Sus scrofa: one gene and its partners. The main gene of each other region encodes a partner of the protein of the gene in region 2 in a complex. Links are inferred from orthologs where the notes say so. Each region holds a gene or a part of one and is shown on either strand. Other genes may lie near its edges. The genes, in order: TUBGCP4, TUBGCP2, TUBGCP5, TUBGCP3 and NME7.

Region 1 (5,475 bases), on a different chromosome or scaffold from region 2:
TGGTAATTTTCTAATTTCTTGATGCAGTAGACAGCATTGCAATGAATAATGATTATGCATATGGTTCTCTTCTTGTTTTGAACGTTGTTGGGATAAGATTCTTAAGAGTGGCATTATGGGATTATAAAGCTACTTAAAATACACGTTTAGACATAGCTAAGTATATTCCAGCTCCTGTAATGGAAATTCTCCAAGGATAATGAAATCCCAAAATGAAAAAGGATTGCCTCTAGGCAGCTGGATCATAGCTTTGACACTCAACACTTTATAACCCTCTTTTTGCAATTACTAAGCCACCATAAGGATTACAAGGGCTCCTCTGCTCATGGGGCTTTTCCATCCTAGTCATAACCTTCCCTAGAGGGAAACCTGACATACTCGAAAATAAAACATGTACAAAGTCAGGTCCCTTGACCATCCACCCTCCTCCCAACCCCAATGAAGCCATGACTTACTTTTCTAGTGCACTGCGAACAGGAGGCAAACCTCCACAGCTGTGTTTGTATACTGTTTCCAGGATCTGACACCCATGAATCTGGGGAAGACACAGCCTTGTCAAACTAGATTCCATTTTGATAGTTCGTACAGCACAAACTCTTATCCTATATTCAACCCGGAGGGCACAATCCAGCAGAGAATGGGAATAAATTTTCTCATAAGAACTATACATCCTTTTGATTCTGACTCCAATTCCAGTGTTTGAGAGGTTTCCTCACACGGCCAGTCCTAAATCCAACTCATCTCTGATACCATCTACCCAGAGACAGCCTCAGATTCCACAGGTTAAAGGTTCAGTAGCCAAGCAGGTCCTCCACTTTCAATACCAATCACAAGCTCAGGAAGCCCATTACTCACTAGATTACCCATTTCTTACAAAGGACACTAAAGCAACACCCAGACAAAAGGATACAAAGGGTGGGGTCGCAGACAAAGGAGCTTCTGCCTGCCTAGGGGCACGTGGAGTAATTGCACTTCACCAACCTGGAAGCTCTGCGAACCCTGTCCTCTCAGGTTTTTATGGAGCCTTCACTACACAGGCAACATGGTTGATTTAATCACTGGCCACTGTTGATTGAACTCCAGTTCCGGCTCTCTGCCCTCTGCCCCGCCCCTCCTCTCCCTGGAGGGGTTGTGTGGGCGGGGCGGGGTGGGGAGATGGTGGGATTGGAAGGACCAACCCTCCAATCACATGGTTGGTTCCTTTGGCAACCACCCCCATACTTAGGTGCTCTCCAAAAGTTACCTCATTAACAAACTCAGCTATAGTAGATAGGGATTTGTTGTAACTATCAAGATACCTTTATTGCTGTCATTACTTAGGAAATTCTGAGTTTTAAGAGTTCTGTGACAGAAATGGGACAAAGACCAAATATACACATTTCTTATTATAAATTGAAACATCACGATAGTTGTTCTCAAAGTAGGGACCCTCCACCCACCCCATCCCCCCAGCAGCAGCAGCATCACCTGGAAACTGGTAAGAAATGCAACTTCTTGGACCTGCTGAATCAGAATCCCTGGGGTAGGGCCCAGCGATCTGGTTTTAACAGTCTGCCCCAGATCATTCTAATCCACAGTGAAGTTTGGGAATTACCACACTAGGGAAAGGAATATCATAGAGAGTTGAAATTCCAAGCAAAGAGGTAAAGAGAGCTCTTCAGATTAAAGCCTAATTCAGCTTTCTTATAAGGTATATACTTTTCTTTCTTTCTTAAAAAACCACCTTACTGAGGTATAATTTACACACCAGAAAATTCACCCATTTTGAGTGTACTTTCAACAGTTTTGAGTAAATTTGTAGCATTGTGCAATCAACACCATAATCCAGTTTTACAACATTTCCATTACTCTAAAAGGATCCCTTGGGGCCAATGCATTCACCCCTGTTCTCACCCACAGCCTGTGTTCTTGACTACCTGTTTTTTTGGGCCTTAGCACTCAGCTTCCTACCACCTTCCTAGCAGGAACGAAGCTTCACGCATCTGCAATCTCCCTATTTATTTACTATTCTCCTTCCTGTGGCCAATGGAAGTTCAAATTCAACTGGGATGTGCAGCAATGCACGGACGCTAACACTAACTCCACTTACCTAGAAAGCCGCCTCCAATTCTGGGAGCTGGTTTAGTAGAGAGGTTAAGAGCATAGTCCCCACAGATGGCTGTGGGTTTTATAGCCCAGCTCTACCGTTTACTACCAGCTGTGTGACCCTGTGCACATTCCTTAATCTATCTGATTCCTCAGAGGACTGACTGTATGTGAAGCACTTAGCACAGTGCTTGGTATGCAGCTAGTGCACAATAAAAGCTCCATGTTACTTGATGAGGGCAATCAGCTTTGTCAGGCTAAAGAGCATCCCCCACCCCTGCCCCACTGGCTTGGCTGGCACAGGATGAACACAGCAGAGTGTAAGTTTCTAGATTTATACAAGAAAAAAATGAAGTAGCCATCTGACAAACTAACTGGGTAACTAGTTATATTCAAGTGAACACTCCTAATAAGCTAAGGCACAACTGTAACAGCTTAAAAACATGAATGAACTAAACATGTTTAATCTGTCTTCTCTAGTCCAATTACAAACTAGCAGATTTTCTTCTAATATAAAAGCATCAGGAGTTCACATGTAGCACAGCAGCTTAAGGATCTGGCATTGTCACTGCATAGGTTTGGGTTGCTGTTGTGGCAAGTGTTTGATCCTGGTCCAGGAACTCCTGCATGCCGTGGGCGTGCCCCCCATCCCACCTCCCCTCCCCAAATCTCAAAGCATCTCAGAGTTATTAATTCTGCCAGAAAAGATACTCTCTGGACACTGGAGACCCTAATTTTCAATGCATATGATAAAAACTTGTGATGAGAACAGGCATATATTAAGAGTTCTGACTGTGCCACAGTGGGCTAAGAATCCAACTGCAGTGGCTCCAGTGGCTGTGGAGGTCCAGGTTTGATCCCCAGCTCTGTGCAGTGGGTTAAAAAGATCTGGCATTGCCACAGCTATGGCTCAGATTCAATCTCTGACCCAAGAACTTCCATGTGCTGAGGGTGCAGCCATTTAAAAAAAAAAGAAAGAAAGAAAGAAAAGAAAAGGCATATCTAACTAATAAATAAACATCTGGCTTTCATCAATGATTAAATAATTGTCAGAAAACTACCAGCACCCTAATGATAAATCTACCACCTTTTTTCATTCTAAGGAGTAACTTTTATGCTTTTCTTCTAGATCTGTGTCCAGTAGTTCTAAATCCTTAGTGTACAAAGCTCTCACCTCCAAGTATCCACAACATTATTCTCTTACCCAGCAGCATTCTTGGGTACATCTATTATCATTTCCCTCACCGTCTGGACCCAGAAGGTGCTTAAAGGCTGGGTCATAACTTATTTTTGCATTCCTGATACCCAAGCATGATATTGTTGAATGAATAAAGAAATAAGTTAAAAACTACTGAAAACTAGGGTCTCAAAAAAAAATGTAGGGAGTTCCCTTTGTGGCTCACTGGGTTAAGAACCTGACTAGTAGCCATTGCTGTGAGCTGTGGTATAGGGATACAGATGCGGCTCAGATCTCACCTTGATGTGGAAAGCCGACAGCTGCAGCTCCAATTAGACCCCTGGACTGGGAACTTCTATATGCTGCACTTGCAGCCCTGAAAAAGCAAAAAAAAAAAAAAAAGAATGTAAAGGAAAATTAAATACAGTATCCCATTGGTGCTTATGCAAGCAAAAGAAAAATGGAAAGTTCTCACCTTTTGACTTTTAATTTGTTCTACTACAACCATTACAGAAGGGAAAAGGAGCTGGAACTGCAAAGTAGAGAATAATTAGGATGGTATATAATCAAATGCAAGGAAAAACAATTAACTCAGGAAAAGCCTTTGTTTCTAAACAGTCCCACTTAACATAAAGAAGGCAATCACTGAACAGCCCAGGTCCAGTACCCTAAGACAATCTGATATGGGGGTTGGCTGCAGGCACAAAGAGAATGGCAGACAGAACCAGTTCTCTGCGGTTAGCGTAACTGTTAACACTGAGGCCAAGCTATAGCACTAACATCACAAAGTAAGTTTTTACTAAACTTGGAGCTTTTCAAACAGTTGGGATCCAGGAAAGCATACAAAATATCAAATCCTGGGCTCTGAATCCAGAAGGGAACAAGTTGTCAAAAACAGTAAGATTATTCTAACAACAGATTCCAAAGCATTTTGTTACCTGGGCAACACACCTGATCTAAGGAGTAATTGATGTGTGATATGGAGAGATGCGGGTCAGCCAGGAACTGCAACAAAAAACATTGATTAGGACTCTATATAAAAGATCTCAAATCTATTTCAACATGAAGACTGGAAGGGAATCTGAGAGTAGGCTTAAGGTTTGTTTTAGGCAACAGAGAATTGATCATTTAGAGAAGATTGCTCCTTCTGAATTTCAGGTGATAATAAAACCGAAACAAAGGCTCTTCCTTCTAAACTCACCGAGATCCTTTGCCGTGGTCTGCACGTCCTTTGATCAGGGCTTAGGCAATCACAGAGCACACACTGTACCCACCAGCCACACAGAAAACAGCTCACTCTTAACTACCCGACTATATCCAAGGGCATTTCAAATCCAGAACAGGACCCTTTCTGCTGTCCCAGAGGTGTTGCTTCCCATTTCTCCTCTCACCTCTTGTTCCAAATCAAGCAGTGCTTGGCGATAAGGCTGCAAAACTGAATCCAGCCCCGTGCAGAAGGCTCTAAGGTAGATTCCGTGTAACCCACCTTGGCCCTGCTGAGATGGATGGTGATCCTGAAATCAAACAAAAAGAAGTCAACTTTTCAACTCAGACCCTGAAGCCCAGGAAGACATTATCCTTTATTAATAGCATGTTTTGTTTTTGTTTTGCTTAAATAATTCCCTATCAAAGCAGTACTTCGAAAAGAGGAAAACTTGACTGAAGAGAAAGATTTTGAGTCCTGGTCTTTTATTTATTTACTTATTTATTTAATCACAGCTGCGTTCTCGGGCCAGGGATCAAATCCGAGCCACAGCTGCTTGGATTTAACCTGCAATGCCTTTAACCCACTACACCAGGCCGGGGTTCAAACTCCAAGCTGCTGCAGTTGGAGTCTTTTTTTTTTTTTTAATTCTTCTCCTTTTTAAAAAATTATAGTTGATTTACAATGTTGTGCCAATTTGCATTCAGATTCTTAACCCACTGCACCATAACAGGAACTCCTGATCTTTTAAAATGTGATAATGTTTTAATTTTCCAAGTGGTTCAGATATTACAAACAAGGTATTACTCCATATTCAGCGGAGGTTTTTCAACAACTCAATTCTAACCTTACAGCCTCTGGCTTAAGTCCCTTTGGTGGCTTCCTCTTGTCCCAGAATAACCTTTAAATTCCCCTCCATGGCTTACGGTGATTCCTGCATTCAGGCCCTGACCCTCTTTCCAAAATTATCTTTCACTGCTTCCAACTTCACATGCTCATTTCCAGACCA
Region 2 (5,475 bases):
CCAGGGAGCGCATGGCAGGCTGGATGTAGAACCAGAGCTTCTGCAGCGACAGGAGGCCCTGCCTCTGCAGCTGCTCCAGCTGCGTGACCAGGACCAGGTACTCCTTCACCAGTGTCCTCATGGCAGCCGCCAAGGCGTGGTTCACCTGCCCGTACTCGAAGGAGGACTTCTCCTCGATGAACCTGCAGCACGAAAGGCACACAGCCCAGCCCCAGGGCACAGCCGCCTCAGGAGGCCAGGCCGCCTGCACGCAGCTCCTCCCCAGGAGACACCCCAGGCGCCCTCGTCCCTGCTCCCCGGGGCCTCTCCCCAGAGAGGGCTGAGCAGCTTTCCCGCATCTACCTGGTCACGGTGGAGTAGCTGGCGGCCACCGGCAGGATCCTGCTCACCAGCTCGCGGATGGACAGGTCCAGGTTGGGGTCCACCAGGAAGGTGCGGCCCTGCCTGCCCGTGAGGGGCTGGGCGCTGATGTACCTGCCGTCCACGCCCACCAGCACGTACAGCAGGTCCTCCACCACGGCCGCCTCCTGGGAGGCCAGGGGCAGCGAGCCTGTGGGCCGAGATGCCGGCTGGGGCCTCGCCGCCAGGCTCCCCGTGCGCTCCCCTCGCGCACCTGCCTCCGGCGCTCGTGGACGGCGGAACCACGGTGCTCATGCGGGGCCCCAATGGCTGTGCCTCCACAGCGACCACCAGGAGAGGCGCTTGGGCACCCTGGGAGTGGCCCTGCCTGGCAGAGCCTGCGCGCACCAAGCAAACGGAAGCCCACACATGCGCGCGCATGCGTGCACACACACACACACACACACACACACACACACACACACATGCGCGTGCGTTCCTGTCTAAAGGGACCAGGCTGGGAATCGGAAGCACTGTTTTTTGTGTGTGGCCGCACCCGCGGCATACGGAAGTGCCTAGGCTAGGGGTCAAATCAGAGCTGCTGATGCCGGCCTAGGCCACAGCCACGCTGGATCCTTAACCCACTGAGCGAGGGCAGGAATCGAACCCACATCATGGATACCAGTCGGGTCCTTAACCCACTGAGCCCTGGTGGGAACTCCCCAGAAGCACCTCTGATGCGCGCCGTACTTCCAAGCTGTAAGCCCGGGCCGTGTGAGGATAAGGAGGTTCTCTGTGAACGCTTCAAAGAGCCGACGGTTTCCACCCCACGCGTGACTGAGATGGTTCCCTGTGACCCCGACAGACTCAACAGTCACAGGCCACGGACCAGGGCCGCCCCCCAACTCCTCACAGCCCAGACAGTCCTGCCGCCCTCCCAGACCCCCACTGGTGGAGGCAGCACCAAGAGAAAGGCGTCCGCGACATTGCCAGAGCCCCGGCCCCGCAGGGCGGCCCCTGCCCCCCACGCCCCCAGGCCCTGTGGGGACCCAGGTCAGCAGCAGGGCACCCAAGCCGGGGCCTGGCAGCTCAGGATGGGCGGCCCAGACACCCAAGCTGACAGGGGCACTGCCGGCTGCACACATCCGTGGGCACACACCTATCTGCAGAGGTGGGACAGGTATGAGTCCAACGGCCACCTGTCCAGGCACCGGTCCCTCTGGACTCAGAGCCACTCCACGCAGACCCTCCACGGCCCTAGCGGCCTTCGGACGTGACCTTCACGACCCTGGAGGTGGGCAGGTCTGGCCGCCTGGTCTTCAAGTGCAGGGCTGCTGACCTCTGCACCATTTACTGCCAACGTCGGGGCCACCCCGGCCTGGCGGGGGGCGCAGGCCCTGGGGTGGGGACCCTGCCCGCAGCGCGGGGAGAGGAGCGTCACAAGCTGCACCGCGTGAGGCCAGCCGAGGGCGCAGGGCTGTCAGGAGGCCAGCTTGAGGCCAAGCTCTAGGGGACAGGAGATGTTCCAAGGTGAGGGGACACCGCGCAGGGACTGGACGGACCAAGCCACCAGGGTCTCCACCGCTCCATGGAGATGGCCTCAGGGGCAAAGAACAGACGCCTGAGGCCAGCTCTGAGGACAGAGATGGCCTGGGGGCAGGGCGGGCTCAGGGTCCACACCCCAACGCAGTGTCGCAGCCACCAAGGTCCCCGCCAGCTGCACCCAGTGTCCACCAGCTGTTACAGCAGACAGAACAGGAAGCTCTGTGGGAGCGTCTGAGCCCAAGTGGCTGAGGGTGGAAGCCGCCCTCAGGCTGGAGGCGTGGGGGGAGGTGGCGCTGGGACCCAGCTGGCTGTGCACGGGGTTGTGGGGCAGACTCGGGCACCACCAGTCACCACGCGGCAGTGGCGACGACACCGGGGAAGGCCGGCAGCCGTCGTGGATGCTCAGCAGATGAATGGCCACATGAGCCGGAATCGTGGAGAGCCGTGCTAGGGACCGAGCTGGGGCCACACTGGGGACATCAGATTCCTTAAAACAGGCGCGGTCTCCCGGGAAAAGGAAATGCCGATGAGCCCAGAGGCACAGCCTGAGGACCCAGGCCGAGATGGCGAGAGGGGAGACAAGCCACCCGTGTCCACTGGCCACACCCAGAGCACCTGAGCCGGAGGCTCTGGCTCCACAAAGGCCACAGCAGGCGGCGGCGGGGGGAGCTGCACACATGGCTAGAGGCAAGGAGGTCCCTGCACGTGGGGTCTCTGGGGCCAAGCGCCAGGCCAGGGCAGGGCTTTTGAGGACGGACTCGCGGCACCGTCTGAACGAGGCTGGGGCGGCCCGGGTGAGCAGACGGGGCTGCAGGCCCGTGCGCAGAAGGGCAGCCCGGCCTCGGGCAGGTGGGGGCTGCCTCCGCTCCAGGAGGTTGGGAGGCACCATGTGGCTGGCGGGGGGCAGGCTGCACGTCGCACGAGGGGGCAGGCGGTTCCCAGGTGAGACTCTGCCACAGGGAGGCCAGGGGAGGGCTGAGGACAGGCACCCTGACCACACAGGTCTGAGCGCAGACGGGACAGAGGCTCATGGGAGAAGCCGTGTCAGGGCGTGACAGAGGTGACATGGGGCCCGAAGGACGGACGCTGATCCCACCTCGCGAGCCTGTGGCTGAGGGAGGGAGGTGGCCAGGCCGCCCGCCCTACCCAAGTTCCCGGGAGCGTCGTTGTGCAAGGCGGCCGCAGAAGCTGCCCCCGGCCAGGCCCACCCTGGGTGTGCGCGGGACCCGCCCCAGTGGCAGGGCCCAGATGGGAACGCGCCACGTCTGCTGTCTGTGAGCACACCCTGCCCTGCTGAGCCAGCTCCTGGCCGCCTCCTCTGAGGCTGGGCCTCCCCGGCAGTTCCGAGTGGGCCTCACGCAGGGCCGGGAACTCAGCTCTTCTAACGACCACACACACCCGACGTCAACAGAGTCCCCTGGCAGCGCTGAGAAACTTCTCTGCTTTCTGTTGGCCACACGGGGAGCCTGTGGCACCTGCCAGCCCAGCAGGCCCCCGGATCTCCTGCCCCAGGCCTGCAGCATCAGGCCCCCTACATGCCCACGACCTCCGGTGCTACCAGGAGCCCCCCCGCCACCCTGCTTCTCGTCCTTGGACATGGTCCCAGGGACCAGGTTTTGCAACCTCTGGCCCCGTGACGACTTCCGCGGGGCAAGCTCCTCCAGCGGCCACATGGCAGGTGCTGTGCAGAGAAAGCGTGGCAGCCGAAGGGCACCGCAGCGCCTCCTCTCACGCGAGCGCTGTGAGCAAGAGGGATGACACGGCTCTTTGACCAGGGGAGGGCTTGCCAGGTGAGATGCACGCGACAGGACACATACCGCGTCCCCAAAGGCCCCATGGTCCTCTGAACGCGACACTAGAAGGCCTGTGTGGTTGGGGGCTCGACACCCGGCAGCAGCGCCTGCAGTGCCCGCAATTCTGTTGAGAAGGACGACCCCCAGGTCCGCGGGAGCCCCAGGACACACACTCTCCCGAAGCCAGCACAGAGCCGCCCGAAAGCTGCCACGTCGCCACCCACTGGTGATCAGGGATGGGACGTGGGGGACGGCGGCCCGTGGGACCCCAAGGGCAGCGGAGGCCTGTGACAGCATGAGGCCCGCCTGCCATCTCTGCGGGCGTCGCGCAGACAGACTTCTGTGAGGCTCCTGCCGGCGGAAGTCAGCGCGCCACCTACCTATGGGAACAGCTGTGTCCGCGCTCCCGCCCGTCCCGGGCAGGAAGTCCCCGAGCAGCGCGGGCCTCTCGTACACCCACGCCGGGAGGACCGGGAGACGCTGGCCCGAGTTTTTTTTGCTCTGCTTGTCTCGAAGCATCTTCCTGGTGAGCTCCAGGGACTGGGAGAGGCATTTTCAGAAACAAAGAGAAAAGACACACTTTTAGCACAAACACTTGACAGTGACACGGCTAAGGTGTGAAGAGCGGATCCCTGCACTCACGAGACCTTCAACAAACGTGTGCAAACGAAACACATGCCTCCGAGCCGTCACAACGCCAGGGGCCGGCCTGTGTGCGCCCACAGGTCAACCCAGAGCACCTCCCACAGCACAGGCCCAGCCTCGTGCGGCCTGAGCCACCTTTCCCGAGGCACGGGGTCCAAACACGACAGCCAGGTGAGGGAGAGGCCCAGCAAGAGCTGGTGGCAAAGGGGCGCCCCCACCTGAGCCCCAAGGGGCCGAGGGACAGAGGCGCTGGACACAGGGCGTGCCCAACTGCACGGGCCTGCAGCTTAGACCTCATGGGATGTGGCTCTGAGTGGCTCGAAGGCCACGGAAGAAGGACAGTAGGAAGACAGACAGACGGCAGGAGAGCAGAGCAAGCCACTGCGTTGAAAGCAGGAGGAGCTGTAAGTGAGGGAGAAAAGCATCTCGAACTAACTGCGCGGCGGCCATGCAGGGAAAAGCAGAACCGGCCTTGCCGTGGCTGAGCCACACACCAGCCTACGAGGCCGAACCGCCCGCGATGGGCCCAGGGCTCCCGCCCCCAGCCAGGTCCTGACCAGCCTGTTTCCACACCCAGATCCGGGGGCTGCGTGGTACCTGCTGCCACGTGGGGCCCGTGGCCACGCTGCCCAGTTGCTTCCTCAGCTCCTCCAGCTCCTGCATGGAGATCTTGGAGGCCGTGGCGGAGGCGCCGAAGCTGGCGGTGCTGCTGGCCGCAGCACTGGCCGCGAGCTCCGCTCTCTCCTTGGCATTCTGCTGTAAGTACTGCAGCGTCTGCAAGCACACGGTACTGGCGTCGCTCACACTGCCCACCCACGGCCACCACGAGGGGCCACGTGCCCAGATCACAAGAGGACGGGATCCCAGCCTTTGTTCCCCGTGGTGGGGCCTTTCTCTGCATGTGGCCAGTCTCCCTGGCTGCACGGGACCAGGTCCCCTTATCTGTCCCCGGAGTGATGGCCCCCCACCCGGTGCCCCAGCCCCTCAGGTTACAGACACACTTGCTCAGCATCCCAGTAACACGCCCTGAATTCAAAACAGACAAGAACGGGACGTGCACAGGCACGAAGCGCCGAGCCCCAGAGGTGGCTGTCAACGCCCCGGGTTCATCACCGTCACGAGTTACTCCCCCCCCCACCGTTAGCGCAGCACA
Region 3 (5,475 bases), on a different chromosome or scaffold from region 2:
AAACAAAGTTACACCAAGAAATAAGGTAAAACATCCAAATTAACCTGCAGCTTTTCTAGATTATAGTCTCTAGTTAGACTTGTATTTTTTTTTAATTATGGTAAAAAAATACATAATATTAATTATACTACCTTAACCAATTTAAAGTGTACTGTTCATTAGTGTTTAGTGTATTCATACTGTTGTGAAAACAGACCTCCTCCAAACTTTTTTCATGCTGCAAGATGGAAACTCTACCTATTAACCATCTCCCCTTTTCTCCTCTCCCCTAGTCTCTGGTAACTACCATTCTCTTTTTCTGTGTTGACTACTCTAGATACTTTATATCATGGATTTGTTATTTTCATTTAAGAAAGGGTTATTATAAATATCTATATAAATCACCTAGGTATTTTTCACAGCTTGCTTTTACATTTTATTCTTGTGGCATTCTTCTGGTGATCTTGGCAATTATGGCTGAAAAACTAGTTTCTTGCAGCCTCAAGTTTAGAAGCTAATTTGAAAACTCAGAACAGGAGTTCCCATCATGGTTCAGTTGGTTAACGAACCCAACTAGTATCCATGAGAACTCGGGTTCAATCCCTGACCTCTGCTCATTGGGTTAAGTATCCAGCATTGTGGTAAGCTGTGGTGTAGGTTGCAGATGCGGCTCAGATCCAGCATTGCTGTGGCTGTGGTATAGGCTGGCTATAGCTCCAATGTGACCGTGACCCCTAGCCTGGGAACTTCCATATGCCATGGAAAAAAAAAAAAAGAAAACTCAGAACAACTCTCTGATACACCATTTTTCTGAAGATCTATGACAGATTATCCACCACTCCCGTGGTTGACCAGAATGAGTTACACTCAGTGGACTAGAAAAGGGTCCCACATACAGTTTGCTCAGAGGCTTCTCCAACATTGTCATATTCAAGGATGGCTTTGTACAGGGTGTTAAGCAGGTGAGATGCCCGAACAACATTTCGAGTGTCAGGTGGAACTTCTGCTACTCCAGTACTAAACACTTTGTGCAGAACCTTGAGCTGAGCCAGTCGAGGTGACAACTTGTCCACCACAATTGCAAGAGTTACTGTAGTATCTGCAAATACCCAGAAATCAAACTCATTAGCAAGGAAATATATCTGCAGTCAAAATGTGATATAAATGCTAAGACACTTGTGGAAAAGCACAGCAAACTGGAGGATGGTGAGTTTTAATCTCATATAAATTTTCCTAAATAAAAAAAAAAGAACTCACTAAAGAAGGAAAAGACAACTTAGAAAAATAATAAATGAAGGAACTGACATTTCATGGAAAAGGAAATTCAAGTGCTTCTTAAACATAGAGAAAGACACTCAACCTCACTTATGAAAAAAGGATGCAAAATAAAAACTACACTGGGCAAACAAAAAACAGACTACAGTGGGTTCCATTTTAGTGAGGGGAAGCTGGGAAGGGTGCCGACAAAAGGCAGCAAGAACAAGTTCCCTCATCAGGATGGCATAGCTCTGAATCCTAAATATGGAGGTGGTTATACAAACCTACACATGTGATAAAATGTCAAAGAACCTCCCTGCAAAAAGCCAAGTACCTGCAAAACGGGTAAAACCCATGTCAGGTTTGCAGACACGTTAATGTATTGTGCCAATGTCGATTTCTTAGTTTTGCTAACATATTATAATTATGTAAGATGTTAACACTAGAGGAAGTTGGGTGATGGGGACGTGGGACCTCAGTGTACTATGTTTTTTGCAGTAGTTATAAAGTTACAGGTTACAGTGATCACCTTTACTGGGTCACCACCATTTTCACCTATCATATTGGAGAAAACTCAAAAGTTTCAAAACACACCATTGGCAAGACTGTGAACAAATGGGTACTCATATATAATCCTGGCAAGAGTGTAAAGTTATTTATCTGTATCTCCGTGGAGAACAATGTGGCAATATCTATTGAAATTGCCTATGCCCTCACATACCCTTTGACTTAGCAATTCCACTCTGAAGAATCTGTGCTATAGGTACCGTGTTTTCTAAACATGTGTACAATTACTTACACATAAGTGGTTATCACTGAAGCACTGCTGGCAACAATAAAAGATCAGAAACAGCCTAAATGGCCATCAAAAGGTGACTGGTCTATGATTCATCCATACAACAAAAGGCTCAATTTGTAAAAAAGAACGAGGAGGCTCTTTATATATTTGCATGGTATAATCCTCAAAGTTTAAATTAAGAAACATTTTGGGGGAGTTCCTGTCATGGCGCAGTGGTTAACAAATCCGACTAGGAACCATGAGGTTGCGGGTTCAGTCCCTGCCCTTGCTCAGTGGGTTAACGATCCGGCGTTGCCGTGAGCTGTGGTGTAGGTTGCAGACGCAGCTTGGATCCCCCGTTGCTGTGGCTCTGGCGTAGGCCGGTGGCTACAGCTCCGATTGGACCCCTAGCCTGGGAACCTCCATACACTGCGGGAGTGGCCCAAGAAATAGCAAAAAAAAAAAAAAAAAGAAAAAAGAAACACTTTGAAGAGAGCAGTTAATGGATTACTACATATGTGTAAATGAATATGCTTTGCTTTACATAGGTCCAAATTATTTCTGGAAGGATGTCTAAGAAACTGATCACATGGTTGCCTCTGGGCTTGGGCACTGGCACAGGAAGAATTTTTCAGTATAAATCTTTCTATACTGTTTGGATTTTGAGAAATGAATGGCTTAAAAATGATTTTTAATAAAATGGCTTAAAATAATTTTTAAAAATGAGTGTATTCAGGGAGTTCCCCTTGTGGCTCAACAGTAATGAACCCAGCTAGTATCCCTGAGGATGCAGGTTCAATTCCTGGCCTCACTCAGTGGGTTAAGGATTCAGCGTTGCCATTAGCTGTGGTACAGGTTACAGATGTGCCTCAGATGCCACGTTGCTATGGCTGTGGCATGGGCTAGCAGCTGCAGCTCCAATTTGACTCCTAGCTGGGGAACCTCCACATGCCATAGGTATGCACCCCCACCCTCCCAAAACGAGTGTATTCAGAATTACTTATTTGCCATGTAATTTTCAAATCTTGTATCAATTGTTAACCTAAACAGCATTCCAATGTGTCTTATGAATAAAAAGGAAGAATATTTAAATACCATTATTGATGATGCACTTCTCAATTTCTGAAAGTTCCTCTTTGAAACTAATGAAATATTTGTACAGGGCCCACATGAAAGCCTGGTATGTTCTAAAGGGTGCGTCAGTCGACTTCTTGGGAACAGAACCATTTCCAGGTAACGTGCTTTCAGAGCTATGCCCCATGACTTCATCAATGAACTCCTGGAGTCGAAACACAACTTGGCCATATGCAGCTATTTGTTCTAGCACTGATCGTAAGCAGCTCTACAACAGAAGCAAACCACAATGGTTTAAAGTCAGTCCCCTGCAGGCATTGTTATTCATATCCCCCTCAGTGTAAAATATTTCTTCTATGATCATTTCATTTATTTATTTATTTTTTTGTCTTTTTGCCTTTTCTAGGGCCGCTTCTGAGGCATATGGAGGTTCCCAGACTAGGGGTCTAACTGGAGCTGTAGCCGCTGGCCTATGCCACAGCCACAGCAACTCGGAATCCATGCCATGTCTGCGACCTACACTACAGCTCATGGCAATGCTGGATCCTTAACCCACTGAGCAAGGCCAGGGATCGAACCAGCAACCTCATGGTTCCTATGATCATTTTAAACAGTATGCTTAGTAACAGATAAAGTTATAAAACGAATATTCAGTTTCATATTCAAAGGAAATAGTGTAAGCATTAATTTTTATAAAATATAACATTTTGGCTTATATTTTTTCTAAAAACAGGAGTTCTGGTCATGGCTCAGAGGTAACGAACTAGACCAATATCCATGAGGATGCGGGTACAATCCCTGGCCCTGCTCAGTGTGAGCTGTGGGAGAGTTTGCATGGCTCAGATCTGACGTTGCTGTGGCTGTGGCTATGGCCGGTAGCTGCAGCTCCGATTCGTCCCCTAGCCTGGGAACCTCCATATGCCAAAGGAGCAGCCCTAAAAAGCAAAACAAAAAACAAACAAAAACAAAAAAACAGAATCAAAACCCAAAAACCCCCCACATACATATAAGGTAAACATATAATACCATAGGCAGAAAAACTATAATAGCTCTCCCAATACAGAATGACAAAAAAAAAAAAAAAAAAATCAGAAAACATAAAACAAAACTAAATATGAACATCCCAAACAATTCTCTAAATACTGTAAAGATACAAACTTAATTTTGTCTTTTGGATTTTAAATATATTTAGCAGTTAATTTTAATACTGCAAAATGTTCTAAAGTTACAATTTTAATTACAATATTTAATTTTATTTAATTACAATAAATGCAAACAACTTACATGTGTCAAGTGAGTTACCATAATATTGTTTCTCACAGCTACCTTTCCATCTATCAACTGAAATATAAACAGCTTTTTTACCCCTGAAAGTAACCTGAAATGAAATAAAAAAAAGACGAATGAAATTTAAGTCTCAGAAAATGTTCATTACACTAATGCCTAAGAAATTTTCATAAAAAGAAGGGAAGGGTGAGGGATGGCACAGGTCAGATAATTAGAAAATAGAAAATATCAATCTTTTTTATCTAATAATTTTAAGACTCAAGATAGTTCAATATCATCTTTTAAAAAGTCTAAAGTGGAGTTCCCGTCGTGGCACGTGCTTAACAAATCTGACTAGGAACCATGAGGTTGCGGGTTTGATCCCTGCCCTTGCTCAATGGGTTAAGGATCCGGCGTTGCAGTGAGCTATGGTGTAGGTGGCAGACGCAGCTCGGATCACAGGTTGCTGTGGCTCTGGCGTAGGCCAGTGGCTGCAGCTCCAGTTAGACCTCTAGCCTGGAAACCTCCATATGCCTCAGAAGCAGACCTAGAAAAGACAAAAAGACAAAAAAAAAAATTAAAAATTAAAAAATAAAAAGTCTAAAGCACGGAGATCCCACCGTGACACAGTGGGTTAAGAATCTAGCTGCTGGAGTTCCCGTTGTGGCGCAGTGGTTAACGAATCTCACTGGGAACCATGAGGTTGCGGGTTAGGTCCGTGCCCTTGCTCAGTGGGTTGACGATCCGGCGTTGCCATGAGCTGTGGTGTAGGTTGCAGACGCGGCTCGGATACCCCGTTGCTGTGGCTCTGGCGTAGGCCGGTGGCTACAGCTCCGATTCAACCCCTAGCCTGGGAACCTCCATATGCCACGGGAGCGGCCCAAGAAATAGCAAAAAGACAAAAAAAAAAAAAAAAAAAAGAATCTAACTGCTGCAGTTTGGGTCACTGTGGAGGCACAGGTTCATTCCCCAGCCTGGTGCAGTGGGTTAAAGGATCCGGTGTTGCCACAGCTGCATGCCACAGCTGCAGTATTGGTTGCAGCTGTGGCTCAGATTCAATCCTTGGCCCTGGCACTTCTATATGCCATGGGTGCAGCCATAAAATTGAAAAAAATAAAATA
Region 4 (5,475 bases), on a different chromosome or scaffold from region 2:
GAGGTGCGGGCGCAGCCAGGTTCGTGTGCTTGTGGGGCGCTCAGCCAGTTTTCTGGACACCACGTGGAATGAGGACCCATCCGTGTGTGTGTGTGTGTGTGTGTGTGTGTGTCCCGCGCTGCTCCTTGATTGCATCTCGGATTCCCACATGTTACTTCGTCTTTTTAAAAGACTCTGGAAGAGAAATGATAGGCTCTCTGTATCCTCTTCAGAAAATCCTTTTCCCTAGAACTTCATGTTCTTTTTCACCTTAAACTCATTTATTTAGTTTTTAAATTTTGTTCTGGTTGCTGATATATAGTCTGCGACGACCCGTGTTTTGTAATTTATTCATCTCTTGTTTGGTGATGGTTCTCCTGTGGAAACTCCGTTGCAGGTGCCGTGGAGGTTACGGAGGCGGCCCTGGTCAGAGACATTCTGTACGTCTTCCAGGGCATAGACGGCAAGCATGTCAAGATGAGCAACGCTGACAACTGCTACACAGTGGAGGGAAAGGTACGTAGCTGCCAGCCCGTCCCAAGTGCTCAGAGGTCAAACGTCAGTAGGACCAGGTAAGTGCTGTGAGGTGGAGGGGGTGATGGGGGTGACAGAGCTGGTTTGCAGACTCGGAGTCCCGGTCAGGCTGTGCTCTTGTCCCTGTGCGGCCTTGTCTGGGGGGCCGTCGTCCTCAGCACTTGCATCCTTGCCTTGTTTCGCTGGTGGCCGCTGCCCTTCCAGCCGGCCTCTGCATCCTTCCGTGGTCACGCCACAGTTACCTGCCCGTCAGGTGTCTCGGCATCTTTGCCGTCGATACAGATTCCACATACGATGCTTCTTGCTTGTGCTTCTGTCCTCCTGACCTTGCCTTTCCACAGTCCTGGCTTCCCTGCATCCTTCTGCTTCTCTTGGCTGAGTCACCAGGTGACTGATGTCCCAGGCAGTCCCCCTACGCCGGGCGCCCTGGCTGGGCGCTCCTGGGGACAGTGGCGCCCAGGTCTTGTGTTTTACCTCCCCGCCCGCTCCCTGAAGCTGTCTCCTAGAGGCTTCGTGTCTTCACTTTAGTGCTGGTATACCAGTTAAAGTTTCCTGGGTTGAAGCGTAAGAAATACAGATATAAAAGTACGTGTGGTTGAGAAGAAGAATAATTAGTTGTGTTGAAACATTTTTTGAATTTTTAACTCTTGGTATGTTCGCTTTTCAGGCAAACCTGAGTAAGTCTCTTAGGGACACGGCGGTCAGACTTGCGGAGTTGGGGTGGTTACACAATAAGATCAGAAAGTACACGGACCAGAGGAGTCTGGACCGGTCCTTTGGACTCGTAGGTCAGGTATGTGGTTTGTTGCTGGGGCACCCGGGGCGCCTTCGCTGGGGGAAATGCTTGTTCTGCTCAGTGTTAGGGTGAAGGTAGCTCTGAAGGGGGAATCTTTCCATGGAGAGAAGTTTGGATGATAGACTTGCGTCAGTCGCGGTCCACCCGAGAGAACAGAAAGCACAGTATGCACCGACAGGCGGAGTCAAATATAGCCGCTCAAGGACTGCTTAATGAGCTCTCAGGGACAGTGACCATGGATGAGTCACCTGACATGTTTTTTGTTTGTTTGTTTGTTTTTTGCCTTTTTGCTATTTCTTGGGCTGCTCCCGCGGCATATGGAGGTTCCCAGGCTAGGGGTGGAATCGGAGCTGTAGTCGCTGGCCTACACCAGAGCCACAGCCACGTGGGATCCGAGCTGCGTCTGCAACCTACACCACAGCTCATGACAACGCCGGATCCTTAACCCACTGAGCAAGGGCGGGGACCGAACCTGCAACCTCATGGGTCCTAGTCGGATTTGTTAACCACTGCGCCACGACGGGAACTCCACTTGACATGTTTTTATGTATTTTCCCTTTGACCTGATTCTTTTAAATATTTTTTTAAACACGGATGTAGAGTCGATTTATAATAGTGTGTTTCTTGTGTATAGTGACATATGCAAGAGTGTGTTTTGTTTACACACATGTGTGTATGTGTCTATATTCTTTTTCTCCTTTCCATTATAGCTTCTTGCAAGCGTTCCCTGAGCTGTACAGTAAATCCCTGTTTATCTGTTTTATACATGGCAGCGTGCACCTGTTAACCCCAACCCCTCGTTTCTCCCTCCCCGCATTTCCTCTTTGGTGACCGTGTTTGTTTTCTGTCACAAGTCTGCTTCTGTTTTGTAAAGAAGTTCATTTGTACTTTTTCAGAGTCCACATGTAGGTGATATTCTGAGATACGTGTCTTTCTCTGACCTCCCTTAATGCAATAACCTCTAAGTCCATCCGTGTTGCTGCAGAAGACCTTATTCCATTCCTTTCTGCGGCCGAGTAGTGTCCAGAGCGTCCGTGTGTTTATGCACATCTGGAGCCGATCCTCTGTCTGTGGGCATGTAGGTTGCTTCCGTGTCTCTCCCTTCCAAATTTTTAGTGTGAAAGTGTCATTTTCTTTAATGCTCTTCGCTAGCAGTATTTTATTTCAGTTTTATTTTTAATGATTTTTATTTTTCCCGTGATAGCTGGTTTACATGTTCTGTCAATTTTCTGCTATAAGCAAAGTGACCCAGTCACACATACACATATACATTCTTTTTCTCACCTTATCTTCCATCCTGCTCCGTTGTAAGGGACTCGTTATAGTTCCCAGTTCTATACAGCAGGTTTTTTATTTTAAATTGTTTTATTTTTTTATGTTTTTGTCTTCTTAGGGCCACACCTGTGGCATATGGAAGTTCCCAGGCTGGGGGTCGATTCGGAGCTACAGCTGATGGCCTCTGCCTCAGCTCACAGCAATGCCAGATCCTTAACCCACGGAGGGAGGCCAGGGATCAAACCTGTGTCCTCATGATTACTAGTCAGATGTGTTTCTGATGAGCCACGATGGGAACTCCCTCTAGCAATATTTTAAAACCGATAACTATCAATTCCTTCTATTATTGTTATTATTGTTGTTGTTATTGTTCAGTGTGTACCGTCCAGAGTTTATTGAAAACTGCCTTGTACGTTTCCATTCTTAAATTCCGAGGTCTCACATCAAGAGCTGTAGGAAGGAGCTTCACACTCTGGTGACCGGAATTTTCTGGAGTGAACTCCGGGTGTAAGCCGGGACAGAGACATTCAGGGGGAAGCTTTGGTTTCCACGAAAGCCCGTGACAGGCAGAACCTGCAGAGGATAAAACCTGTTCCCTGCAGACAGAAAACAAATTTACGGTTGCCACACGAGGGGGGAGTTAGATTAGGATTTGGGGATTAATAGAGTCACATGACTGTACATAAAACAGGTAAACAACAAGGACCTCCTGTGCAGCACAGGGAACTGGGGCCCAGCATCTCCTAATAACCTATCACGCCAAAGAATCCAAAAGAATAAGCCGCAGTGCATGCGTGTATGTGCAGAAGCAAATCGCTGTGCTGCCCGCGGGGAACTGACCCGCCCAGTGCTGCGGGTCGCCTCGACTTGATTTACAAGGATGCGGCCCCGCAGCCCTCGCTGAAGGCAACGCGCCTTCGCTGTGTGGAACCCGATTCCTCCTCGCCCCGCCCTCCCTCCGGACGGCGGCGTGGTGGTGGCCCCGCCCGAAGACCGAGGCCAGAAGCGGAGTCCAATCCCGAGGGACCCGCGACCTCGGGCTCGTGGCGCGCCCCGCGCGGCTCCCGTGCGTTGCTGCGAGCGTGCAGGGTGCGGGACTCGGGTCCGGCCTTCACGCGCCTCCTCCCCCCTCCCCCGCAGAGCTTCTGCGCGGCGCTGCACCAGGAGCTCAGGGAGTACTACCGCCTGCTCTCCGTCCTGCACTCCCAGGTGAGCACCCGCCGGCGTGGAGCTGCCCAGCGCCCCCCGCGCTGCGCGAGCGGATGCTTCCGCCCTCGCTTTTAGGGAGCAGGACCCGGCGATACGTGCAAGGACGGGCCGCGAGGGTCCCGGGTGGCCTGGCGCCAGCAGGTCACCTGCGGCCTGAGCTGTCATCTCGGAGGGCATGTCTGTTGCGTTTTTATGGGAATAATCCCTTCCCCGGGTCTGCACGGAGTGAGGGGGTAACGTATGTGGTGACCTGCGCTTACTCGTTCTCTCTCCTGATTTTCAGCTGCAGTTAGAGGACGACCAGGGGGTGAATTTGGGCCTCGAGAGCAGCCTGACGCTGCGGCGCCTCCTGGTTTGGACGTATGACCCCAAGATGAGGCTGAAGACCTTAGCAGCCCTGGTGGACCACTGCCAAGGTCCTTCTGCCTTACTTCACAGCGGGTTTTAGGGGGTAGCCCGCTCTTTTGTATGCTTAACAGCCAGAAGTGTGCCGATTAAATGCAAATGAGTAGACGTGACCTTGCGGGGAAAATGCCTGTTGCCGGCAGGGCCCAGCGTTCACGCCTGTGGAGGCTCAGGATCTCCTGAGCTGAGGGAGGAGGGCGGGGGGTAGTTTTGGGCCTCGTTAGGGCTGTTGGTTTGTGTTCCTTTGTCTCATCTCAATGAGCAGCCTTTCCTGGGGTTTCGCTCCTCCGGAGTGCGGTCCACGTGGGGCACCAGCTGTGCGACAGCCTCCCGTCTTTGCCCGTGGGTTGGGCCTCTTCTGGTCTTTTTGTCTGTATCTCTAGTTGCCTTCTTGACATTTTCCTCACTGTTTATACTTCCTTGTCTCATCAGTTAACACAGGGACACTAAGAGTCTCTACCTCCAGGGCCGTTAGGACCAGATGAGACTCGGGAGCCGGTGCTCTGCCTGCCCTCTGCTCTCCCTGCCCCCTCCCCCTCGGGGCAGTTCCCCAGCCACAACTCAGCAGGACTAACTGCCACGTTCACCGTGGCTGGCAGCCTTACCTCTGAAGGAAATCAGTCGAGTACAATGAATAAATCCCAGCGCTCCCCGTCTACCAGCAGGCCCCGCCTCTGCCTTCGTCCCAGCCCCATCTCTTTCGGTGTCCCCTGGCCCCCAGCCTGGACTCCGGCATCCCTGCTCTGTGCCTTCACACGCTTGTCGTGACCTGCCGCCTGGCTCTGTCGCTTTGTGTGCACACGCGCAGAGGGTCTTACTCAGAGCAGATCCTTAAAATCTTCCCTCAGTCTCGTAAAACCCTGGATTTTTCCCACTTGGGAAATTCTCAGTGTGCCTCGACTTTGGTTTTGGCCACTCACAGCCCTTTCTGCTGGGCTGTGCTCCTGGGACTCTGGGCACTGTTCTCACGGAGCCACACTGCAGGTGCCACCAGTTCATGGGTTATGACATCATTTTAGCAAGTTGAGATCAGCATATTATACCAAAAAAAAAAAAAACAGGAGGAAAATACTCAGGCGTGAGTATGGTTTTGCAAATGTCCATCTTCTACCCCTGCTGCTTTGTGCGGTAGAGCGCAGTGTCGAGTCTGAGTCTAAAGAGCGTGCGTCTCGGTCAGAGCAGGTGCCAAGTCCTGCTCTAGACCTTCTCCCAAGGCAGGTTCTCCGCTGTGGTCGTGCCGGGGAAGGGCTCTGGCGCGTGTGGAGCCCGGGAGGCTC
Region 5 (6,044 bases), on a different chromosome or scaffold from region 2:
ACCGATTTAGAAGAAACTTGATCAAATTGAAAAGTGGAAAACAATTCATGTAATATAATCCTGAATCATCAGTCTATTTAGCAATCATGAATCTCTCTTTGAAGGCTATTTTATTTTATTTACCTTTTCTTTTGGCTGTACCCACAGCACACAGAAGTTCCCAGGCCAGGGATCAAACCCTTGCCGCAGCACTGACAACACTGGATCCTTAACCACTAGATCACCAGGGAACTCCTGAAGCCTCTTGTAAAATAACATCAACTTTGAGATATTTGTTTAGTTTAATTCTTGTGGAACATAGCTGATAAACTTTAAAGGCCTTAATTATACTAGCAGTTCACCTTGGTTAACAGTATTTAAATCAGTGGTCTATTTTAGAAGATATATAAATTCATACCTCTTTATTAGTCAAAAGAGTCTTGGAATTATCTCCTCCATTCTCTGTAGGCGCAAAAGCAAATAAATTGATGGTTCTAGTATATTCTTTATCGTAAACAACGTGTATGTGAGATATACCTAACAGTGGCCTATCTCTGCTTCGTAAGGTAAAGGTGTTAGCCAGAACCCAACTCTGGTGCTAGAAGATACAACTGCAACAAACCAGATGCAGATAATTTAATTTCAGTGATCAGGAAGCCACACCAGCAGAGCAAACAAGCTCCATCTTCAGCTGCTTATAGAGACCACCAGCTTTGAAAGAGTACAGATGTCAGTGGTCAGGCTGAACACAGGAAAAGGGCTTTCATTTCTCTCTCTTTTTCAAAAGGCCTACTCTTTCTCTTCAAGGACTGACAGCAACAGACACAGGAGAGAGATTTGGATGCAGAAAGGATCTTGAAAATTCTACTAGAGTCAGTCTTAGGCTTTCATTAAATTCAGTTTTTCCTGATATGCAGTAAGATTGTCACTAGGTCAAAGGAGGAAGAAGCAATCTGCATGCCTTGAGATTTAAACAATTTTGCCATTCAGAGTATGTATTGTTTAAATACACTACATCCTGAACTTTGTGGATCATGATGCATAGTAAGAAATAAATATATTCTATAGCATAACCCTGTACACCCAACGCACATGCAATTTAAAACAAAAGTTTCATGAAAGTGACCCTTGCCATATGCAATGAATATGGAAAATGTTTATTTCATGTGTCTTCGTTTTAATGCTGCTACCTACCACAAATTGATTTCATGACTGAGTAATGGGATACAACCACAGTTTGAAACATACTGCTGTCTTCCCCCTGCCTACCTTTCTACCCTAATTTCCTGCTAATCTCCACCACACACCTGTACTGCTACCACCCCCACATCACCTCATAATCTAATATCTACTCTTTTTTCACATTAAACCATAAGGTCAGTTCCTGCAATACTCGACGCTCCTTTGATCTTGTTGTTAGTTTGCCTAGAACCCTTCCCTCGTTCACTGCAGTTTATCATTCAGTCCATTCAGACAAAGCTCACTTCCTTAGAGGAGCCTTCATTTACCACCCAATTTGAAAGAGCCACCACACCCAACTCCAGGCAGAATAAGAGGATAGGGATAGAAGTTCACTGATCTTAGGGTTGTTGGGAATTCTGAATGAAAAAATATCAGACAGGCACAAAAAAACAGTATTCCACAAATGTCACTTACTATCTCCCTATGCCATGGTACAGATCACCAAATTCCAGCTATTGAAATTCTATTCCACTTGCTTTGTGGATTTTCTGATTCTGAAAAGTGAAAATTCCATCCTCCAATATCCCCCAAGTACTTGGTACCCTCACAGACACTTAACACATTCTTATTTTTTTTTAATTTATTCAGCTGAGTGCCTAATACAATCTAAGCAATGGCAGTGAACAAAATAAAGATCCATTCCTCTAACAGATCAAGTCTAGTAAGAGTGACAAACCTATTAAATAATTTCAACTGAATGTGGTAAGTACAATAAGAGAAATGTGTACTGTGTAAAGTTGTGACAAAAAAAGAATGAAGAGTCAACTCTCTCTGAGTAGAGAAAGAAGAAAAACACCTAACCTAGGAATGAAGAATCAATAGGAGTTTGGCTAGCAAACATGGCAGTAAAGGTATTCCAGGTGGAAGGAACAGCATGTGCAAAGTAGAGGAAAGAGGCTTACCACCAGTTTGCAGTTGCTTGGAATGTTCAATGAAAAGGCAAGTAACTAAAAGAATGTCTAAGAAAGTTTCATGACAGAAGCAAGACAGGTTAAGTCCTAGATCATAGAAGGCTTTGTATGCCATTCCAGATAGGCTGAATTTTTATACTGTTGGGAATGAGGAGTCTAGAGTTCTAAAGCGGTAATTAACATCAACAGATTTAGGGTTCAGTAAATTCCTTCTTGTGGTAGAGAAAATAATGAATTGAAGAATTACCAGACCAGAGTGTTAAAGACACTACTACAACAGTGCAAGCAAAAGCTGAGGAGATCTCGGAGTTCCCGTCGTGGCACAGTGGAAATGAATCCAACTAGGAACCATGGGGTTGTAGGTTCTATCCCTGGCCTCGCTCAGTGGGTTAAGGATCCAGAGTTGCCATGAGCTGTGGTGTAGGTTGCAGAGGCTGCTCAGATTTGGCATTACTGTGGCTGAAGCATAGGCTGGTAGCCGTAGCTCTGATTACACCCCTAGCCTAGGAATCTCCATAAGCCTCGGGTGAAGGCCTAAAAAAAGCGAAGGAAAAAAAAAAAAGAATTGAGGAAATCTGAAACTAAACCAGAATCAGGTGACCAACTGAACAGAGAAGACATAGGAGAGAAAGGAGTGTAGGAAAACTCTGGTTTCTGGTTTAGGTTATAAATATAGTGGTAGCATCAACTTGGTGAAACAAAAAAAGCCAGGTGAAAAGACAGCAAGTTCAGTTTTGGTTGAGTTTGAGGGGCCTTTGTGGTAACCAGCTAGAAGTGTCCAGGTCTTACCAGATCTGAGATGAAACTGAAATTTAAGAATGAATGCTTACCAGGTCTGAGATGAAACTGAAATTTAAGAATGAATGCTTAGGCATTAGTGGAACACTTGTGTGTGGATGAAATCAGCCAAAGAAAATGGACAGACTAAGAAATTAAGGAATGAATCCCAGAGAATGGCATTTAAAAAGTAGGCAAAGCCAGTGGGGAAAAAAAAAAAGAAGGAATGAATGATGATGAGCTTCATCTATCAAAGAGAGGCTAAATAAATTTTGAGAAGAAACTCCTGGATTTGGCCATAAGAAATTTAAGCAAGAACAACTTCATGAAGCCATTAGAGGAATTCAGATAACTGAGTGCTGAGGATGAAAGTAAAGAGCTGAATTTGATACAAATGGAAGCACTATGCTTTCAAGCAGTTTACTGATAAATGGGAGGACTAGGCAATAAACTGAACGAACACAGGCTGGGGGTGTGCTTTTGTTTTATTTCATTTTCTTAAGGTGTATGGCTTGAACACGGGGGGGGGGGTGGGGGGAGAAGGAAATGGTGAGGAAGAGGCTGAAAGCACAGGAAAGAAAAAAATATAACCAAAAGCAGAAAGTCCTATAAGGAATGGGAGGGAATAAAATCTAGAGCAAAGATGGAAGCATTATCCTTCAATACCTGTTTCTCTGAACTAGAAACACAAGACCTAACAGAGAAAGAAGGGGTGGTGGGTGGATCTCTGTTTGTTGTTGCTGTTCTTTCTTTCTAGAGCCACACCTGTGGCATATATAAGTTCCCTCGCTAGGAGTCCAATCCGAAGCCTACACCACAGCAATGCCAGGTTCTGGCTAAATCCTAAGCGGCAGCTTGCAGCAATGCCAGATCCTTCACCCACTGAGCGAGGCCAGGGATCAAACCCACATCCTCATGGATACTACTCTGGTTTTTAATGCATAGAGCCACAACGGGAACTCTGGGTGGGTCTCCATATTTAATTTCATAGCCATACCTGGCATTCTCGAACATGTGATCGAATGAAAATCATCTATAGGCTTTTTTAAAAATGCAAATATGGAGCCTGTTTCTATTCATGCAGAATTTCTGAAGGTGAAGCTCTAGCAAGTGAATTTTCCAGAAGTGATTTCCAAGTGATATTATGGAGTATTCCTGTTAAAAGGTAATCAACTGTATAATTTAGGGCTAGTGCAAAATGCAGCTATTATTAGGTGGCCCTTAGGGTGTGGAACGGTACTCGGCCCTCAAGAGAGCAAAGACTACAGGATTCAGAGAGATTCGGATCAGTCATGAAAAAGTCAAATAAACATCACCACATACTTTTAAATGAAGCGTGTTAAAGTGAAGCTGAGAGGTTGAAAAAAATGCAATGATGAAAAATGCATACATCTCCAATGTTTGACCGAAATAAGGTCTCACCTCAGACTACTAGACTCCGTGTCTTAGCCTTAAACTTCCTGTCACAATACTCTACAGGCTCAGCAGGACCAAAGTGTAATTCAGGGTGCTGCAAGAAGTAGGGAAAGCGAGGAAATTGCACGGACAGTTCCTGGAAAGGGACAAAGAAATAACCAGCCGAAGGTAGAAGCGATCTGGATGCCTCTCAACGCCCAGACGCCCCAGGACCTGGGACAAAGCATAAACAAGACCGCGATGCCTTTCTTCTGACACCGCCTTGCACTCACCATCGCCTCGGGATCTCAGCACCAGGAAATAGGTAACTTTGCGACTGGAAAACACCTACACCAACACCAACGCCAGGTTACTCTGGCAACAGAGCCCCACCTACTGCCGGACTCGGAGCGGGCCGCCACTACCCCGCCCCTTTGTCCTTAGTGGCTGGGAGTAAATAGAGCTCCGCCCACCCAGCCGACCGACCCGCCCCTTCACGCCGTAGCTTGGAGCAACGGAACACCACCTACCTCTTTCCAGCATCATCACTTCCGTTTGGTTGAAAGGCGACCCGGAAGTTCAGGCTTATATGCGGCTAGGGTCCAAGTATTCTTTTTTTTATTTTTTAATAAGAGTCTACCCAGTTTTGTTTTACTGAAGTCTTGAATCGTATATTCTGCGTCACTGCGTCACTTGAGTTTAAATGGCACCAAAAGTGTTTTCCTTCTGAAAAGTATTCCGGAAACGAAACCCTGAGTAATCGGAAGTAATTAGCCGTGAACCAAAAGCTTGATGTCCCCAAGGTTGGGGCGGATCGGCTTCGGAATGCTAGAGGAGTGTGCGCGGAAGTTAACCCGTGATATCTAGCCAAAGAACCTGTAAAGTGAGGCCCCCTGCAATTGGGAGAGTAAGAATCTGAGAGGTAAGTCCAGGAAAGGGCTTGTGTAACTGAGAGGGGATTTTGGAAAGGGACAGAGGTTTGGATTGAAGTGTGTTGTTCATTCAGTCGCTTTAGATTTAAGGAAAGGTTGCCCGTTGTTCCAGGAAGGTTTGTTCAGACAGGGACGGAACTTTGGATTTGACTTCTGGGGATGGCAGAGGTTGACAGGATTGTCGCTTCCACTCCTGCCACCTTCATACCTGTTACACACTCCAGACCCACCCCCACCCCCTTCAATTAGTATTTGCCTGCAGACCTTTGTACATTTCCCTGCGCATCTTCCGAGGGTTCATTGCTCTTGCGAAGGGTCTTTGGAGAGCTATTTTTCAGAACAGTGGCGGCGGGGGTGTGACTTTTAAGGAAGGTAGGCACGGAAGACGCTATGCTGAGTTATATCGAGTACTCAAGAGTTATCATTTTTGTGAGTGAAACCATTTGTCATCTAGTGCCTGGTTCATCATTCGTGATCACTGCATTAGTATTACCTTCCTTCTCATGTTCTCGCCTGAATCTTAGTAAGACTAAGATTTAGTAAGGTCATGCATACATTCTGAAAATATATGCTATGACATTTTAATTTTTACCAAGAAATGCAAATTAAGTTATTATGAATTTTTTGTCACTTGTTAAACATCTAAACAGAAGCTCCTCTGTCATGTAGTGAACAAAATAGTGTCCATGTCTCCTGAGAAGGTAATTACTTTAATACCTTTTTTTTTCCCCTTTTTTGGGCTGCATCCGCAGTATTTGGAGTTTCCTAGGCTAGGGGTGGAATCCGAGCTAAGCTGCTGGCCTACAAC

What was found.
Region 1: TUBGCP2 (region 2) and TUBGCP4 share a complex: the UniProt entries of both Homo sapiens proteins name them as parts of the gamma-tubulin ring complex. The link is inferred for Sus scrofa from reciprocal best matches to the Homo sapiens genes TUBGCP2 and TUBGCP4.
Region 3: TUBGCP2 (region 2) and TUBGCP5 share a complex: the UniProt entries of both Homo sapiens proteins name them as parts of the gamma-tubulin ring complex. The link is inferred for Sus scrofa from reciprocal best matches to the Homo sapiens genes TUBGCP2 and TUBGCP5.
Region 4: the proteins of TUBGCP2 (region 2) and TUBGCP3 are in contact, whole or in part, in a cryo-EM structure (PDB 8Q62), measured with the Homo sapiens proteins. The link is inferred for Sus scrofa from reciprocal best matches to the Homo sapiens genes TUBGCP2 and TUBGCP3. Residues at the interface, in NP_006650.1 of Homo sapiens: Gln172, His173, Pro175, Ile176, Phe177, Pro178, Trp180, Arg184, Ala186, Leu187, Ile188, Gly189, Phe191, Leu222, Tyr223, Val226, Val228, Asp229, Gly230, Arg231, Glu278, Ser281, Phe283, Gln287, His290, Ala291, Ala294, Arg297, Val300, Lys301; in NP_006313.1 of Homo sapiens: Glu272, Asn273, Cys274, Ser286, Leu287, Asp289, Thr290, Val292, Arg293, Glu296, Trp299, Ser361, Thr363, Leu364, Arg365, Leu368, Val369, Tyr372, Lys375, Ile376, Lys379, Ala382, Ala383, Asp386, His387, Ala402, Tyr403, Lys405, Thr406, Gly407.
Region 5: TUBGCP2 (region 2) and NME7 share a complex: the UniProt entries of both Homo sapiens proteins name them as parts of the gamma-tubulin ring complex. The link is inferred for Sus scrofa from reciprocal best matches to the Homo sapiens genes TUBGCP2 and NME7.

Annotation. Positions count from the first base shown.
Region 1 is NC_010443.5:128,069,293-128,074,767, forward strand, and holds part of TUBGCP4 (gamma-tubulin complex component 4), read right to left. Parts: intron 4,777-5,475; coding exon 4,654-4,776; intron 4,268-4,653; coding exon 4,214-4,267; intron 3,795-4,213; coding exon 3,738-3,794; intron 536-3,737; coding exon 456-535; intron 1-455. UniProt on the Homo sapiens protein: Component of the gamma-tubulin ring complex (gTuRC) which mediates microtubule nucleation.
Region 2 is NC_010456.5:141,242,560-141,248,034, forward strand, and holds part of TUBGCP2 (gamma-tubulin complex component 2), read right to left. Parts: intron 5,097-5,475; coding exon 4,920-5,096; intron 4,218-4,919; coding exon 4,058-4,217; intron 551-4,057; coding exon 343-550; intron 183-342; coding exon 1-182. UniProt on the Homo sapiens protein: Component of the gamma-tubulin ring complex (gTuRC) which mediates microtubule nucleation.
Region 3 is NC_010457.5:32,011,694-32,017,168, reverse strand, and holds part of TUBGCP5 (gamma-tubulin complex component 5), read right to left. Parts: intron 4,467-5,475; coding exon 4,373-4,466; intron 3,357-4,372; coding exon 3,110-3,356; intron 1,079-3,109; coding exon 876-1,078; intron 1-875. UniProt on the Homo sapiens protein: Component of the gamma-tubulin ring complex (gTuRC) which mediates microtubule nucleation.
Region 4 is NC_010453.5:78,214,128-78,219,602, reverse strand, and holds part of TUBGCP3 (gamma-tubulin complex component 3), read left to right. Parts: intron 1-376; coding exon 377-495; intron 496-1,180; coding exon 1,181-1,306; intron 1,307-3,724; coding exon 3,725-3,793; intron 3,794-4,076; coding exon 4,077-4,209; intron 4,210-5,475. UniProt on the Homo sapiens protein: Component of the gamma-tubulin ring complex (gTuRC) which mediates microtubule nucleation.
Region 5 is NC_010446.5:81,638,595-81,644,638, reverse strand, and holds the start of NME7 (nucleoside diphosphate kinase 7), read right to left. Parts: upstream 4,733-6,044; 5' UTR 4,601-4,732; coding exon 4,598-4,600; intron 4,462-4,597; exon of another isoform or gene 4,332-4,461; intron 1-4,331. UniProt on the Homo sapiens protein: Possesses an intrinsic kinase activity. Displays 3'-5' exonuclease activity with a preference for single-stranded DNA. Does not seem to have nucleoside diphosphate kinase activity.